Linked DNA regions of Rattus norvegicus. Each later gene encodes a partner of the first gene's protein in a complex. Links are inferred from orthologs where the notes say so. Each region holds a gene or a part of one and is shown in the gene's direction. Other genes may lie near its edges.

Region 1 (7,697 bases):
TATTGTTCCTGGCCAGTTCTTAGCCGTGGATCCCAAAGGAAGAGCTGTTATGATTAGTGAGTGTCCTACTTTATTTGCTCTGAGTGCTGCTCTGGATTTTATGTGTGCTCAACATAGTGTAAGACAATCTGTGATCTTGGCCATGTGCCAGTTTATCACTTAATCATTAACATTTGGCATTACATTGATATTTACTAAGTTGATTTTTCATTTTGCTAAAGATTTCCTTTTAAAACAAAGTCATAAAGTAAACTACATTATTTAATTGAATGAATTTATTTTTTCTGCAGCAAAGGCCACAGTGAATTGATCTCAGTTGTGTGGTTTGGTTGCTTTCTTCAGCCTGAAGTGATGATTCACAATCATGTCTCTTCTCTGAAGAATTCTTGGAGATTCTGTGTATCTGATCAGGCCTCTAGAGGGCAAGCCACCCTTTGCCCAGTTACAAAACAACTGGGCCTAATTCAAAAAGGAGTTAACAGACTGATTGGCTATTGTCCCATCTCTCAGTGTACCTTAATGTCCCGGGCACCTTAAACATTTCTGAAGAATTGGGGGGATGTTAAGATGTTTGTTAGAAGGGGTTATGATGATTTTCTGAAAAGGTGTTGTCTGCCAGCAGTAGAGGGCAGTATGTTTGGACAGTTAGTGGTGACTGCTAATGGTCTTACTTAAAAGAATGAATGTCTAGGCGTCTGTCTTCTCATGTGGAAATCTGCTCTTTCATCTCCTCCAACAATAGGTGCGATTGAGAAGCAGAAATTGGTGTATATCTTGAACAGAGACGCTGCAGCCCGACTTACCATTTCATCTCCCCTGGAGGCCCACAAAGCAAACACTCTAGTGTACCATGTGGTTGGAGTAGATGTGGGATTTGAAAATCCTATGTTTGCTTGTCTGGAAATGGATTATGAGGTACCAGGGTCTCTCTCTCTCCTCCCTTCTTCTCTCTCTCTCTGTTTTAGTCATCTCAGATTTTTTTCCTAAAATAATTTTAATTGTATATGTAGATATTAAAATCATTCTTGCTAGCGGATCTTTTTCTTGATATGAATGCTTGACTGAAAATCTTGGGTGCACTTGACTAGTATTATCTGTTCAGATTTAAATGACTGCTCTGATCTGAGACATTTATTAAGAGGAGCTGCATGAGAAAAGCAGAGTTCTATTTGGGTTTGGGGGGAGGGGCGTTGTTTAAGGGAAGTAGTAAAAGGCAAAACATGCCAGTCTTTGCTTTAGCCAGAGCGCCTCCCTCTAGTGGAGGCTGACAGCCCAGGGTCCAACATAGAGATTGCTAAACTTTGTCAAACTATTTGGACTCTGAACCTTTACTTCATTGTATGTAAAATCCTGATATCCTTCCCAAGTCAAAGACTTGATTAGTTTTTGTGCACTGTCTTACAGGAAGCAGACAATGATCCAACAGGGGAAGCAGCAGCCAATACCCAGCAGACACTTACTTTCTATGAATTGGACCTTGGTTTAAATCACGTGGTTCGGAAATACAGTGAACCGTTGGAGGAACATGGCAACTTCCTTATTACAGGTACTTTTCTGCAGTGCTCCTTTGTGCCTTTAGGGGAAAAAACTTACTTTATCTGGGTGTTTTGCTTGTGTGCATGTCTATAGAGACCAGAAAAAGACATTGGATCCCTGTGATCTGGAGTTACAGACCATTGTAAGCTGCCACATGGGTGCTTACCACACAGGATTTGGATCTTAATCTCATTGTAGAAAACCTAATGTTTTATATGTTTTTGTTGCGTTGTTTTAGACAAGTTCTCATTCTATAGTCCTCATTAGGTAGACTAAGTTGACCTTGAAATCAAGGCCATTCTTGCCTTAGTTTCTCTAGTGCTGGAATTACAGATGTTCGCTACCATATCAGGTTTCTGTTTCTTGAGGCTAAAGATGGTAAAGTTTTGGGGGTTTTTTTTTTGTTTTTTGTTGTTGTTGTTGTTGTTGTTGTTGTTTTGTTTTTTTAAAAAAAAGGCCAGGTGCTCCCCTCTTTGATTCCAGTGGGGGATCTCTGAGTTGGAGGCCAGCCTTTCTCAGAATGAGTTACAGGTCTTGAGAGGTGGACACAGTTGGATCTGACTGTGTTTGAGGCCAGCTATGGGTATACATGAGACTCCTGTCTCAAAAGAAAAGGAAAAACACATTAGACACTAGTAAGATAATAAAAGCTACTTATTTAAAAGAATAAAACTATATGAGATCATATGGCCTTATATGAATGTCAGACTTGAGAAGGGACTGGAGGTGCAGCTCAGCAGTTCTGAGCAGTGCCAGCGAGCCCCAGGGATATCACCCACCCCACGCCCGGGGCTCAGGTGTGCTTTCGCTCACAGCTTTTAAAGGGGCCTCATGCTTACACGGCAAGTACTTTACCAGCTGAGCTGGGTTTTAATTTTTGAAATTTTCTCATTCCTCATGCTGGCTTCAAGAGTTTTCACGTAACTAAAGGTGGCTTAAACTCTTGATCAAGATTACAGATGGAAACTACCATGCTTGGCTTTATTTTAATTTTTTTAGAGACAGGATCTCTCAGACCAGCCTCAAACTCACTTTGTAACTGAAGACCATTTGACTTTTGACCCTCTTGCCCCTGCTTTCCAAGTACTTGATTAGAGGCGGACATCAAAAGAAGCACTTGGTTTTAGCATCATTGGTGGGAAGGAGAACAGTTGACAATCAAAGCAGTGCAAAATATTTAAGCTTTTTCCCTCTCACAGTTCCTGGAGGGTCAGATGGTCCAAGTGGAGTGCTGATCTGCTCTGAGAATTATATCACCTACAAGAACTTTGGTGACCAGCCAGACATCCGATGTCCAATTCCCAGGAGACGGGTAAAGTCTACCATAGAGCAACAGCTGACTAGGGAATGAATTAGCTTGTTTGTTTGCTCTTAATGATCCACCATAGTATCTTCCTCTCTCTTCTATTTATTACTCTGTGTGCATGTATGCCATGGTTCGTGTATGGAGGTCGGAGGAGAAGCTGCAGGAGTCAGTTTGTCCTTCCATCATGAGGGACTCCGTTTGAACTCAGGTTGACAAGCGTACTACCTGCTGCACCATCTCACCAGCTTAGTCTCTTAAATTTGTCTGTTGCCATGTTTTGGTTATGTAAAAAGATAAGTTGCTTTTCTAAAACTGGGTATGTTTTAAAGGGGAAATTATTAATTAATACTTTGGAGTGCAGGGCTTTGTGCACTCTACATATTAAGCAAGTTATCACTTTATTAAGGTCATGTCATTGTGCGGGTACAGACTTAGGATTTTTTTTTTTTTATAGATCGTAAATATTCTTCCCTTTCTGGTCTGTTCATTATGTGGATACAGTACCAGTCTTATTACTGAGTCAGTTCTTACATTTTTCCTCCCTCAACTTACATATTTTTAATATTGGTTCTGGGTCAAACCTTATAGGTTAAGCGATAAAATTTAATCTTGTGAAAAAACATTGAAATCGGCCTGTTGATCAGACATTTCCTAAGCCAGGAATTTGTATTCGTTTGGGAGCAGTGAAAAGGTATAAAACTTATGAGTTTGTATGCAGAAATATTTTTTAAAATCTTGAAAACATTTAACAACTCCAAGCACTAGACTTATTTGTAGGGGAGTGGGAACTTGGTACTACACAGGCTGGTGGTGATGGATGGTTTCCATGGCAGTGTGGATGAGTGTGCTTTTTGTTTTTAAATTATTATGTCCAGCCTGAAATGATGACTATTTAATTCGTGTCTCTTCTCTGACATTCTCCTCTGGAGATGATTTTTGCCTTGCTGATCTGATGAGGCTGCAGAGTGGAATATTAGCAGTTTCTTGGTCACGGGGTGGGGTGGGCAAGCTTTAGTTGTTAACAGCTATGGTGGGCAATGTTTGCATCTTAGTCCTTGAGTAGTCTGTAGAGTTCCTTTTTGTAAAAGATGAATTCCAGAATACTGAGTTGCTTATTTCTAAGATGTTGGCTCTGTTTCTGGTTTTGCCAGAATGACCTGGATGACCCTGAAAGAGGAATGATTTTTGTTTGCTCTGCCACCCATAAGACCAAGTCCATGTTCTTCTTTTTGGCCCAAACGGAGCAGGGAGATATCTTTAAGATCACTTTGGAGACAGATGAAGATATGGTAAATAGAACATGGATGGAGGGGGAGTATCTATTTGCTGTAGTCTATCTTGATTTTTAATTTGAATATAATTTAAAACCTTTGTCTAAAGTACCTGCTGTTTGTGCATGTAAGATTTACAAAGCTGTTTTACTTTTTTTGTTACTGTTTTTGCTTTTTTGAGATGGGATTTGCCTTGCCAGTCATAGCTCTGTAGACTAGGCTCACTTAGAACTCAGAATGTGCTTGTCCCTGCCTCTTGAGTGCTGGGGTTAAAGTGTGTGCCACCACTACCTGGCTCTCAAAGCTGCTTAACATCTATACTTCATAACTTTTCCCTGCACCAAGATAGGGAGCAAGTGCAACTGATTCTCAACAAGTCAGAAGGAGGTCTTCCTTTTCAGAAGAGGAACTGGAGGGGGGTGAATCTGGGGGAGATGGGCTGGGAAAAGCCGGGAGAAGTGAAGGAGGGGAAACTGGTTGGGATGTATGGTGTGAGACCAGAATCTACTTTGAGTAAAAGAGGGAAAAATTTAGAAATTTAGATACATTAGAAAGTGGTTACCTTTTGGTTTGAATTTGAATTTGGGTTTTCTCATTCTGGCTAACAAGTATCTGACCTTGTAAAGCCACTTAAGATGTTTAGTTTTTCTCTGCTGTGTATTCTCAGTCCAAAGTAACTGACATTGAAGCAGAAAAAGCAGTAGCTATGTTTAACCCCTCAGGCTGGCTGCACTGTCCTTTGTTCACTTGTGGTGCACAGAGCAGGCTTCTGTGGCTAAGCTGCACCTGCCTATACACCGTCCTTCTGTTCCAGGTAACTGAGATCCGCCTCAAGTATTTTGATACTGTTCCTGTTGCTGCTGCTATGTGTGTGCTTAAAACAGGCTTCCTTTTTGTGGCATCAGAATTTGGAAATCAGTAAGTAATCCTTTTTTTATTTGTTTATTTATTCATTCATTTATTTATTTATTTTAGCTTACCACTATAACCCCTAGGTTACCACACATAGTAAAAGTTAGCAGACAGGAGGTGTTGGGGACCTTTTCATAGAATAGTTGAGGTTTTTCAGAAGTGTTGCTCTCGTTTTCCCTTTTTATTCATTCTCCCTATCCCTTTTCTTCTACTGCATTATCTTTTTTGTGGGTTTTTAGAGTTGTTTAAAATTACATTTTCTATGTATGTATACTGAGTGCATGTACATGCCCCACATATATGTAGAAGGTCAGGCGAGGCATCTAGAACTGGAGTTCCAGTGTTTGTGAGCTGTCAAGGTAGGGATGCTGGGAACCAAACTCAGGTCCTCAGCAAGAGCAGCAAGTGCTTTTAAAATACCACCCCAAGTCCTTCCTCCAACCCCGTTTTTGTGTTAATTTTCATTGTTAGCTTCCTTTACTGTAGTGAATTCCATTACTATCCTGAATGTCTGTAAGTATGGGCTGAGGCAGGAAGATCTCAAGTATGGGACCAGCTTGGGCTGCATAGTGAGGTGATTTTCTAACGAAAAGTAAAGCCAGAGAGATTTTTTTCTACATGTGCTCTCTTGTACAGACCTACAGTTGAAGTTTCTTCGTATCCACATTGCCTGCCTGTATCGCCAGTGTGCCTTGCTCAATATTTTTGTTTAATGGGCCTCTTCTAGTGACTTGTGGAGTCTGAGTTTATTTTTCCTCTACTCCTTTTAGTCAAGTGTACAAGTTCTAGTTTTTCTTACTACACTGTTTCCAGTCTAAATTTAATTTGCTTTGCTTTCCTGCAAAATCCAGTCTTTATAAAGAGTCAAACTTAACAAGATGGGACATTACCTTATTGATAATGTAGTTATTATGTTAGTGACATTATTTCCTGTATCTCAGTATTAACAAACTTTGATGGATTTTCATTGCCATACAGAAGAAATCTGAACTCTAATGAGCAGTTTAAGACCAGTATCCACAATTCCAAATTACTTATGAATGACAGGGCCTTGCCGCTGTCTACTAACATGTCTGCAAAACAGTTTACTGGAAACTGAGCTCAGTTTTCTCGTAATTAAAATTAGATGCTTTTTAGAATTTTGTGGCATGTATGAATTATGTGCAGTAGAAGTGTGGGTATGTAGGTCAGACATGGACGTCAGGTCTTCCTCAGTAGCTCTTTACCTTATTTTCTGAGACAGAACCTGAAACAACTGGTTCTGTGTGGACTGGCTAGGACAGGGATCTGGGACTGTCTCCCCAGCTCTGGGATCACAGGTGTAGCTGCTGCATCCTGCTTTTCACATGAGTATTGGGAATCTGAACGCAGGTCCCCATGCTTGTGTGCCGAGCACTCTTGCAGCCGAGCTCTCCCCTGCCTACACGTGCTCTGCACTTCCTGCCATTTGTTCTGAGTACCTTGTTTCGTCTCTCCCCTTGAAACCTATACAGCAAACTGCTGTCACGTCCCACTTCCAAGCATACTGTGACCTGTGCCAAAGAAAATCTCTTTTGCTTTGTCCTTAGTTACTTGTATCAAATTGCCCATCTTGGAGATGATGATGAAGAGCCTGAGTTTTCATCTGCCATGCCTTTAGAAGAAGGAGACACATTCTTCTTTCAGCCGAGACCACTCAAAAATCTCGTGCTGGTGGATGAACTGGACAGCCTCTCTCCTATTCTCTTTTGCCAGGTGTGACTTTATTCAATTACTTCTCAACTATGCCAGCTGACTATTATTAAATCTGAAATGTAATGGTTTAAAGTTTTCCTCAATATGAGATGTAGTCTGAAAACTGCTTATCTGTGAAATCGTTGCTATGGAAACCTGGTAGTTAACAGAAGTTCAGGGACGTATCAATTTATGAGGGCTGTTTGTTTTGAGACAAGACAGTCTTAGTCTGTATAGCTCCAATCTAGTTTTCACTGCACATTTCATTGACCTGCTTTCCTTTGACTGTGTGAGCAGTGTTAATTCTTATGTGCTATACTAATAGTTGAAGGTTCATTAGCAGAGTAACTGCATACAGTAATTCTGCCAGTCCCCTTCAGACAAAAATAAAAAAAAAATAATAAAAAAAATAAAAATTTAAAAAAACTAGTTTTGGGGTTGGTGGTAGCTCAGTGGTAAAGCACTTGCCTAGCAAGCGCAAGGCCCTGGGTTCGGTCCTCAGCTCCAGGGGGAAAAAAAATCTAGTTTTGAACTTAACTATCCTCCTGCCTCAACCTCCTCACTGCTGGGATTAGAGGTGTAAGCTGCCGTGCCTGGCTGGGTGGTGAGGTTCGAGTTCACAGCTGTCCTCGTGTAGTCACCTAGGAGTTGGCTAACTGCGTGATATGCACGTATGTGGGTATGCAGCTAATAACAATGGGGCCCATAGGTTTTTGAAGTACTGGTTAGAATAAATGACTCTTGGAATACCTGAAAACTTGGTAATTACTTTTATTGGTAACAACGTTATAATTCAGTGTAGTTTGGCACTGATAAGTAGAAGGAAACACTAATCTTGGATGCAAGTCAGATTTAACAACACTTCATTGCACATGATATCAAAGTTTCTTTTTGACTTCTGAATAAATTGCATGAGTGTTTTTGTTTTTTTTTTTTGTTTGTTTGTTTTGTTTGTTTAG
Region 2 (8,490 bases), on another chromosome or scaffold:
TAGAAGCTTACCTTTGGCACTATAGTTACATTCGTATTTTTAAAAACTTGATTTTTTTCTTTTAGAGTGCTTTTGGTATTTTTGAGCTTTAAATGGCTTGTGCCGTTGTGAACTTCTGCTAATTATGTGGCTCAAAAGGGGCGGGGCATACATCAACACTGAGCTTTAAATGTCCTTACAGTTGGCTTACTTAAAGTGGGGGTGCTAATATTGTATTAACATTGCTTTAAAGTGAGCAAAATTGTTGTAAAAAATCTGGAGGTGAGCAAATAAATAAAAAATAAAGTATGAATGGCTTTGTGTAACTTTTTACTCTAAAAATAATGACAGAATATAAGAACCCATTTCAATTCCAAGACTTTTGTACTTTCAAATCACAAAACTATAAAATAGTTGATTTTTCTTAATTAGAAAAATGTTGTATATTTACTCTCCTGGGCCTAACACTTGAGAAATAATTTTATAAATGTACCAGGCTATGGGCCTGAGAGAGAGCTAGGCAGTTAAGAGTGCTCCCTGCATAAGCATGAGGCCCAGACTTTGGATTCCAGCACCCACCAGCCAGATGTGGTCCTGTATACACCTGTAATTACAGCACAGAAGGGGGTTGAGATAATAGGATTCCTGGCACTTGCTGGCTGTCAGCCTTGCTAGAAAAGACAAAAAGAAACCAGAAACCCTGGGTTCAGCAAGAGTCCATACATCAAAAGGAATAAGACAGATAGTGATAAAAAAAAAAAAAAGATACATGACACCTTCCTCTGGCCCTAACATACGTATATGATCAATAAGTAATTAGAACCCTAATTTTATTTTACCTCATGCCTTTCTGAGAGTGTGGGCCCCCCCTAAGTATCCCACAACCCTGGCACATTGCCTTTGAGGGGCTAGGCCTATCTTCTTTCACTAAGGTCAGATAGGGCAGCCATGAAGAATGAGCGTCCTGTTTGGTACATAGTCGCTAGGGGTCCTCGTTCCAGCCGAGGATAGAACTCCAAGTTTAAAAAGTATCAGGCTACAAAAGTCAAGACAGTACTTTCCTGTTTCACAAAACTAGGCTGCATGAGTTAGTGATGAAATATGTTTAAAGTAACATCTTAGTTTTCAAGGGCATCAGCTCCCTCCACTTTTTTTTTTTTTTTTGGTTCTCTTTTTCGGAGCTGGGGACCGAACCCAGGGCCTTGTGCTTCCTAGGTAAGCGCTCTACCACTGAGCTAAATCCCCAGCCCCATCCCTCCACTTTTGTAGCAGAAAACTGTGATTAAAATTTACGGGTTTGGGGGAAATGAACTCATTTTCTTTCTTGGGGTTAACTTTATTAGGTGCCTATAATAATAGCCACAATTACATTGTTTTTGTGAGATATTTCATTTCTTTAGTGAGAGTTCTAGATAGGGAGAGATTTGGACAAAGGCAAAACATACTGTGAACATGTCCTAATTTTGCTCAAAATTTCGAATGTGGATCACAGCAATACCCTAGGAAGTAGGAAAGTCACAAAGTCATGTACAACCACAGCATATGCAGAGGGGAAGTGCCCCCAATTTAACCCTGTACATCTTCTGTAAGCAAATTTTGTTTTTAAGTAATTCTGTGTTCATATTACCTTAGGTTAAAGATACATCAACCTTTTTATCAGAAGAAATCCCCTCCCAACTAGGATTAGAGATTACAAGATGTGGGGACAAGAAAACTCCCAAACATAAGGATAGATGTATGTGAGCGTGTGTGTGTGTGTGTGTGTGTGTGTGTGTGTGTGTGTGTGCGCATGCGCGCGCACGGCGTTAAAAGTGTGTGCCATGTGCAATATCATCCAGTGCACTATCTCTTCTATTGTAAACATACTCCTGAATGAAATGGAAGCATAATAACAAATTAGTGAAAAGTGCTGTATAGTTTTCAGATCAAAGCAAGACCTACTTAGCAGCATTTAAAAGAACCTAACAAAATCCACAGCATGCATATAAATTCAGTTCTCCAATAGTTCTACTAAAAACAGAACCTCATAAAAATAAATATATTTGGAAACAAAAAATACTGTTTTATTTTTTTAACATCGTTAACGTGGGATCAGATTCAGAGATTTGTGAGGAGCCAAGATGTTCTAGAACCTAGCTTGAACCACTGTGTTTACAAACAAAGGTGACTGGAATGGAAATAATTTCTAAGAAGCTTTTCCCTACAGTCAAGTCTTGATTATAGTACTGATGTCTACATGTATAGTTTATTGCTACTTTTAGTGATTAAAATTTTACTTGCATAGTTAACATTATGGCAACAGACGTTGTTGTTTGTTGATAAACGTAGTCCACACACCAAAAAAAAAAAAAAAAGCTGTTTAGAATTGTCTAGTTTTTGAGTATTAAAGGATGCTGAAAACAAAATAAAACAAAGTAATTGCTGCTGTCCAGCATCTGGTGCTTCCACCCTATTGTTCGCCAACTATAATTGAACCTCCCTTGATCTGTCTTCTCAGCAGCTGCCTCAGAATCGCCCCCTGGCACTTAATAGTTCAGTAAATGCCTGTCTGTTTTAAAAATATGGACCTCTTCCCTTTTCGAGGTACATGAAACATCTAAGAGAAAAGTCCCGCTTTTCTTAGTAAGGCAGTAGGCTGTCTTACTAAGAAACAAGGAAATGGGGCCACATGGTTCATCTCCTATTTGTACAAGGGGATGTTTACAGTCAAGCTTCAAATTCCAGGCTGGAACACCTCTGACACGTTGCAGTAAGCCGCAGGCAAAAGCTACTCTCACCTACTGCAGTCTGAGGGTGGTACCAGAAGCATAAAAACGGGGTGAGATTTAGCTCAGTGGTAGAGCACTTGCCTAGCGAGCGCAAGGCCCTGGGTTCGGTCCCCAGATCCGGAAAAAAAACAAAAAACAAAAAAAAAAAAAAAACGGGGTGAGATTAGGAAGCGATGGCTTCTGCCCACTTTTCTTTCACTCCTTCTTCACTAGACGCCAAACAGTATATTAGGTGTTTGGGTTACTAAGGTGAACAAAAGCCGCGTGTACCCTAGGGCAAGCATTTAAAAATAAGTAAACCCTTGGCTTCTGCGCAGGGGCGGGGATTTGCGCGAAGGAGGCGCAAAGGTTTCGCGAAGCGGGAGAAACTTGTCCCACGGTCCCACCCACCTCCCCAAGATGGCGCCTGCCGCAAAGCCCAAACACAGCCAGCTCGTCTGGAAGAGTTCCGCGTCCTTTTTCAGGCAATCGCTGCGGCGAAATTCGTCCGGAGTGCAGAGGAGCCCAAGGTTCCCGAGGTGCCACGCATTTCTGCAGGTTGCGTCTCTAAGGCGAGTTACCATTAAGTATGGACACGCGGCGGCAGCCAGGCTTTGAAACCCCGCCCCTGTCCGCGCAAGCGTCGCGGACATATGACGCCACGTGGGCGTGTCGAGCGATCCTTACGTCGCCACGCGCGGACAATGGCGACCGCATCAGTCTGAGGCGGACTTCGTTCTCAAATAGTTGCCTGACGTGGCGGAGGAAGCTGTAGTGCCCCCGGAGCCAGCCGCGGCGGTAACCGCGCGCTTGCGCGCTTCCGCCTCGCCCTAGACCTAGCGGTGGCGTTGAGACCCCGCGGAGTCCGCCAGGTGGGTGGCGGCGACAGCGCTGGCAGTTTCTAGACGCATGCGTGCGCGAGTGGGGCGGGCAGGAGGGCGGAGTTGGGGTGGTACCGCTTAGACTTCCCAGGGTCTGCTGGGGCGCTGCGGGAGGCGGCCGGGGAGTTGCAGTGCACGTTCTGAGCTCTGCAGACCTCTCTTTCTCTGCTCTCTTCCAGCGCCCTTTTGGCCTCTTCACTTCTCTGACCGTTGTGTCCGGGACTACGTGAGAACCATGAGTGGCAGCAACTTGAGCGGGAACGATGAATTTGATGAGCAGTTGCGAATGCAAGAATTGTACGGAGACCCCAAGGAAGGTGACACCCAGAATGAGCCCTCTGGAGAAACTGATTCTTTGGGACAACCACCAGATGACACTCCCTACGAGTGGGACCTTGATAAGAAGGCTTGGTTCCCTAAGGTAAGAGAGTAGCTTGAGTCCCACTGTGGAGCGGGACATAGGGCTCCCTGACCACCTTTGCGGGACATCCCTCTTATGTTTGCTCCGCTGAAGTACTTGGTCTTTGAACTGGTGGTTGGTGGCTAGTCTGTTCAGTCTATTGCAGCCCCGATGTATAAAGAAAAGTAAATCTTAGAGTGGTGCCTTAAGTGTGTTTTTTTAATGTCTTATTAATTTGTGTATGTGTGTGTGTGTGTGTGTGTGTGTGTGTGTGTGTGAAGGTCACAGTTCATTTTTATCTGGATATTTTTACTGCAAAGAGGAAAAACACCAAGAAAAACACATTAATAAGAGTTTTATCCTGTATAACCAAACTTAACTTACGCTTCGTGTACATGCTTGTGCCTAATGTAGCTTGTTGATTTACCGGGTCAGAAAGCAGTCATTCAGCTCATTCTGCCGAATAAACTTTTCTTGATTCTTGTTTTGTTTTATTATTCTACTAAATTTTGTTCCAGGACATCTAAGTTTGGACCCTCTAAGCACAGGAGTATGACTAGGAATGCGCAGGAAATGGATGAAAGAGAACTCTACATTTGTTTCCGAGTACTTGGGAATTGCTAAGTGTTTAGTTTCAGCATGGAAATAACACAACTGGTGTTGAACCCGGTGTTATAAACTGTAGGGTGAAAGTACTCTGTTAGTTTTAGCCTCATGGGAACTTTGGCATCAAAGGGTACTAACAGCACACCAAGCGATTGGAGAGCCAATCACACACAACTTTTCTCCATTGTGCAGGGGGATTGATTGTTGGTTCCAAAATTCTTTATTTCAGCTATTCTTTCTGATTTTGTATTTGCGCATATTTCAAGCACCCCAAACTGTAAAAATTTACAATTGAACTTCTGGACTTGCAATGCCTTTTCGAATGTAGATGAGATTTCTTTCTGAGCACTTATAATAGTCTGACAAACTATTATTTGGTATCTGGGCACCCAAAAGTAGATACTGCAATAGATTGCTAGTGGACTTTGGGTTTTACCATCTTGTTATTCGATACTTCTTTTGTTTTATGTATTGGCCACTTTTGTTAAATATACTGTAAAGAAGTAGTAGTTTACAAGAATGTAGAAAAAAGTGGTAGCATCACTTAAAACTATGCGTGTGGTTTTGGCAATCTGAGCACCCTTGTCCTACTTTGATTGCACTACACGTTTTCCGTATAAGGTGACTGGTCTTGGATTATATTTTAATTAGTAGAACTACTTGTGGTATAAACACTTGTTTAAGTCTTAGCTTATATTGTTGAATGTAACACAGTTTCCACAAGTGAAGTCACCTTGTCCGTCCATGTGTTGACTTATTTATCTAGATCACCGAAGATTTCATTGCTTCGTATCAGGCCAACTACGGCTTTTCTGGTGATGGTGCACCCAGCTCTACTGGGAATGTCCAGGACGCCAACACTAAGACTGTAGAAGAGCCGCCACAGAAAGAAATCCCGGAAACCACTGACTCCAAAAAGAGGGGAGAAAAGAGAAAGGCTGAATCTGGCAAGTGGTTCTGTCTTTGCAAAGTCCGGGTTTAAAAATGAGATAGGAAAAATGAGTGAGTCCATTGTACATGTTGGAGGCAAGAATGATAATGTGAGTTTTCACTTTAAGATAGGGTTATAGTCATGAAGGATAGAAAGAACGCTAAAGGTAATTCTCAGTCAAAAGGTTTATGTCTTTTGGAAGATACGTAGGGATTTGAGTTAGGCGTAGTTGTCTGAGATAAAGAGGACATTCTAAAACTTTGAAGAAACTGCCTTTGCTAAGATTTCCTAATGTAATTCTTGTTGTTTGTTTCAAGTGTTTTATTTATTTCCCTTTGATTTTTAGGATGGTTCCATGTTGAAGAAGACAGAAATACAAATGTATATGTGTCAGGTATTTATCCTGTTGCAGTGCAGTTTTCACGTTGGTATCCTTTAGTGTTGAAACTGCGCTAAGTGAGTTTTAGTTTCGGTGTGTTTTGTTCACCTGCTTATGCTAGCTGGAATTTAATGAGGAGGGATTGAAGAAAAGTTATGCAGTGTTCCATGCTGTTTTGTATGCCTGCCTTAGAGAATTCACAGCAATTTGTTCCTTTACATTTAGTGAAACATACGCATAGCATAACTGATATTTTTAATATATAAAATGTGAATCCTCTTCACATTTATAGATAGGAAGTTGTTGTACTCATTTACCCAAATTAGCCTTGTATTCACATAAGTTTCAGGTTTCTCATTGGTAAATGCTAAAGTCTTTTACTGTCATTAAACACTTTAAAATTGTTCTCTGAAAGTACAGGTCTCCCTCCAGACATCACAGTGGATGAATTTATACAGCTTATGTCCAAATTTGGTATTATTATGAGGGATCCTCAGACTGAAGAATTTAAGGTCAAACTTTACAAAGATGATCAAGGAAATCTTAAAGGAGATGGACTTTGCTGTTATCTAAAGGTTGGTATTTGGTCCAATAAGTCTCTTATCCTCCAGTTTTTAAACCAGGAGCCAAAGCTAGGATTTTATAGATACTAACCTAAACCACAAACTATCCAAAGCAGAATACAAAGGAAATTGGGTTTTCGGGGTATTACTATATGTAGGCCATGCTGTATCTTTTCTCATTTTTTTTTACATATATATGAATTACTGCTTCCATAGAGTATACTCACCAAATCCTGCAAATACACGACACAAAAGAAGTATTTAGTAAGACAGAGGAAAACCCAGAAATCAACTTAGTGACACTAGGGTTATTTGCTTGTTTTAAGAAACTTTGCTACAAGGTCAGTATGTTATGCAAATATGTAATTTTGAGGCTTGTCATGTTCAAAAATCTCACTGCAAAGACATCTTCATCAGTGTATATAATCAAGAGTTTAAAAATCTGAGAAGGAAAAAAGCTAGTGACATTTTATTTGCACATGGGAATGAACTGGAATGGGGTTTAGCAAAGTCGTGCCCGCTGCCTGTTTTTGCAAGTACAGTTTTGTTGGAACACAACCCCACTGGCTAACTTAGGCTTGTGCGGCTGCTGCTTTTGTCAGTAGCATTGAGCAGTTGCAGCAGTAACCCTAACCCTAAGGCCTAAGCTGTTTACTAACTGATGTGTTTGTGTAGGACCCAGGATCCATAACTGCATTTAATATATAAGCCATTAAGTAATTCTCTTCTACTAAGCATTTCCTTACAGATGTATATTTGGTTTGACGAAGCTGAATACTAAAGGCTGACTGTCTTCTGGTCGCTTAAATCACCCACTATTATGTGGATGATGGTACAGAATCTCGCAGCTGGGACATGCCGCAGATATCACTCACTTTACTCCTCCCATTCTACACATGAGGAAATCGGGTTCCTGGACATAAAACTTACCCAGTAGTATAATTCTAGTAATAGAATAGTAAATATATAAATATAATGAACACCTACTGTATGTTATACCCATACCTTTCCATATACTATTTCATCTAATTTAAGGGACTCCGTGATGAAGATATTTTAGCTTTACACAGATGGAGAAGTTGGGGGTTTAGAGAACTAGTCCTGTACCTAAGTTAACACAGGTGTGTGAGATATATGTGTGTTTCGAACAGAGCTTTCCTGATTTCTACTTTAGGATTCTTTATACTAAAGTAGGTAGCGGGCATGTTTTTTAATCAAAATCCCAAGTTTCATTTCAGTGCTCAACTTAATGAGTATTTTATTTTACCTTATAAAGAAAGAATCTGTGGAACTTGCATTAAAACTTTTGGATGAAGATGAAATTAGAGGCTACAAATTGCATGTGGAGGTGGCACAGTTCCAGCTGAAGGGGGAATACGATGCCTCAAAGAAGAAGAAGAAGTGCAAAGACTATAAGAAGAAGCTGTCTCTGCAGCAGAAGTATGTCTTTTGTCTTTCTTGGAAAGATTACATATTTTTTTTCCAAGCCTAACTGTAACCAGCTTTATTAAAGATACTTTTCATAAACAATCATGGTATTTCAGGCAGGACATGGGCAGACAATGAACAATATATAAGAACTTTGAAATTCTCTTCTTATATAGACTACCTATATCAGAAATCCACTATAAAAACCAATGAAATCTTCAGTCAATGCTTTGGAAAGGGGAAAGTAGGGTAGAGTGAGGGTTGACATTTCATATTAAGGATGGTGTTTAACAACTTTTCACACACCAGCCCTGATTTTCAGGAAATGAACATGGCAGATTTATCAATCCGAAACTCCACAATCTTTTATAAAAGGAACCAGCGCTCTTCTGAGACACTGAGGAAGTCACTGCAGAGTCCACATCACCCAGTAGACTAGAAAATCAATTTTGGGGGTCAGGTTCCAACAGGACTCTGGTTTTAAGGGAATGAAGTCTATGTTGATGGTACAGGGGGGAAAGGATATAAAAATGGATTTAGAGTTTCCCCAGACCACAAGGCCATTTTTTTTTTTTG

Evidence for each region.
Region 2: Sf3b3 (region 1) and Htatsf1 share a complex: the UniProt entries of both Homo sapiens proteins name them as parts of the 17S U2 SnRNP complex. The link is inferred for Rattus norvegicus from reciprocal best matches to the Homo sapiens genes SF3B3 and HTATSF1.

The regions. Positions count from the first base shown.
Region 1 is NC_086037.1:55,717,965-55,725,661, reverse strand, and holds part of Sf3b3 (splicing factor 3B subunit 3), read left to right. Parts: coding exon 1-56; intron 57-339; exon of another isoform or gene 340-415; intron 416-742; coding exon 743-915; intron 916-1,404; coding exon 1,405-1,546; intron 1,547-2,735; coding exon 2,736-2,848; intron 2,849-3,714; exon of another isoform or gene 3,715-3,803; intron 3,804-3,993; coding exon 3,994-4,131; intron 4,132-4,927; coding exon 4,928-5,031; intron 5,032-6,593; coding exon 6,594-6,759; intron 6,760-7,058; exon of another isoform or gene 7,059-7,125; intron 7,126-7,697. UniProt on the Homo sapiens protein: Component of the 17S U2 SnRNP complex of the spliceosome, a large ribonucleoprotein complex that removes introns from transcribed pre-mRNAs.
Region 2 is NC_086039.1:139,969,346-139,977,835, forward strand, and holds the start of Htatsf1 (HIV Tat-specific factor 1), read left to right. Parts: upstream 1-3,396; 5' UTR 3,397-3,598; intron 3,599-3,615; exon of another isoform or gene 3,616-3,786; 5' UTR 3,787-3,842; coding exon 3,843-4,028; intron 4,029-5,379; coding exon 5,380-5,560; intron 5,561-5,890; coding exon 5,891-5,938; intron 5,939-6,343; coding exon 6,344-6,498; intron 6,499-7,762; coding exon 7,763-7,926; intron 7,927-8,490. UniProt on the Homo sapiens protein: Component of the 17S U2 SnRNP complex of the spliceosome, a large ribonucleoprotein complex that removes introns from transcribed pre-mRNAs.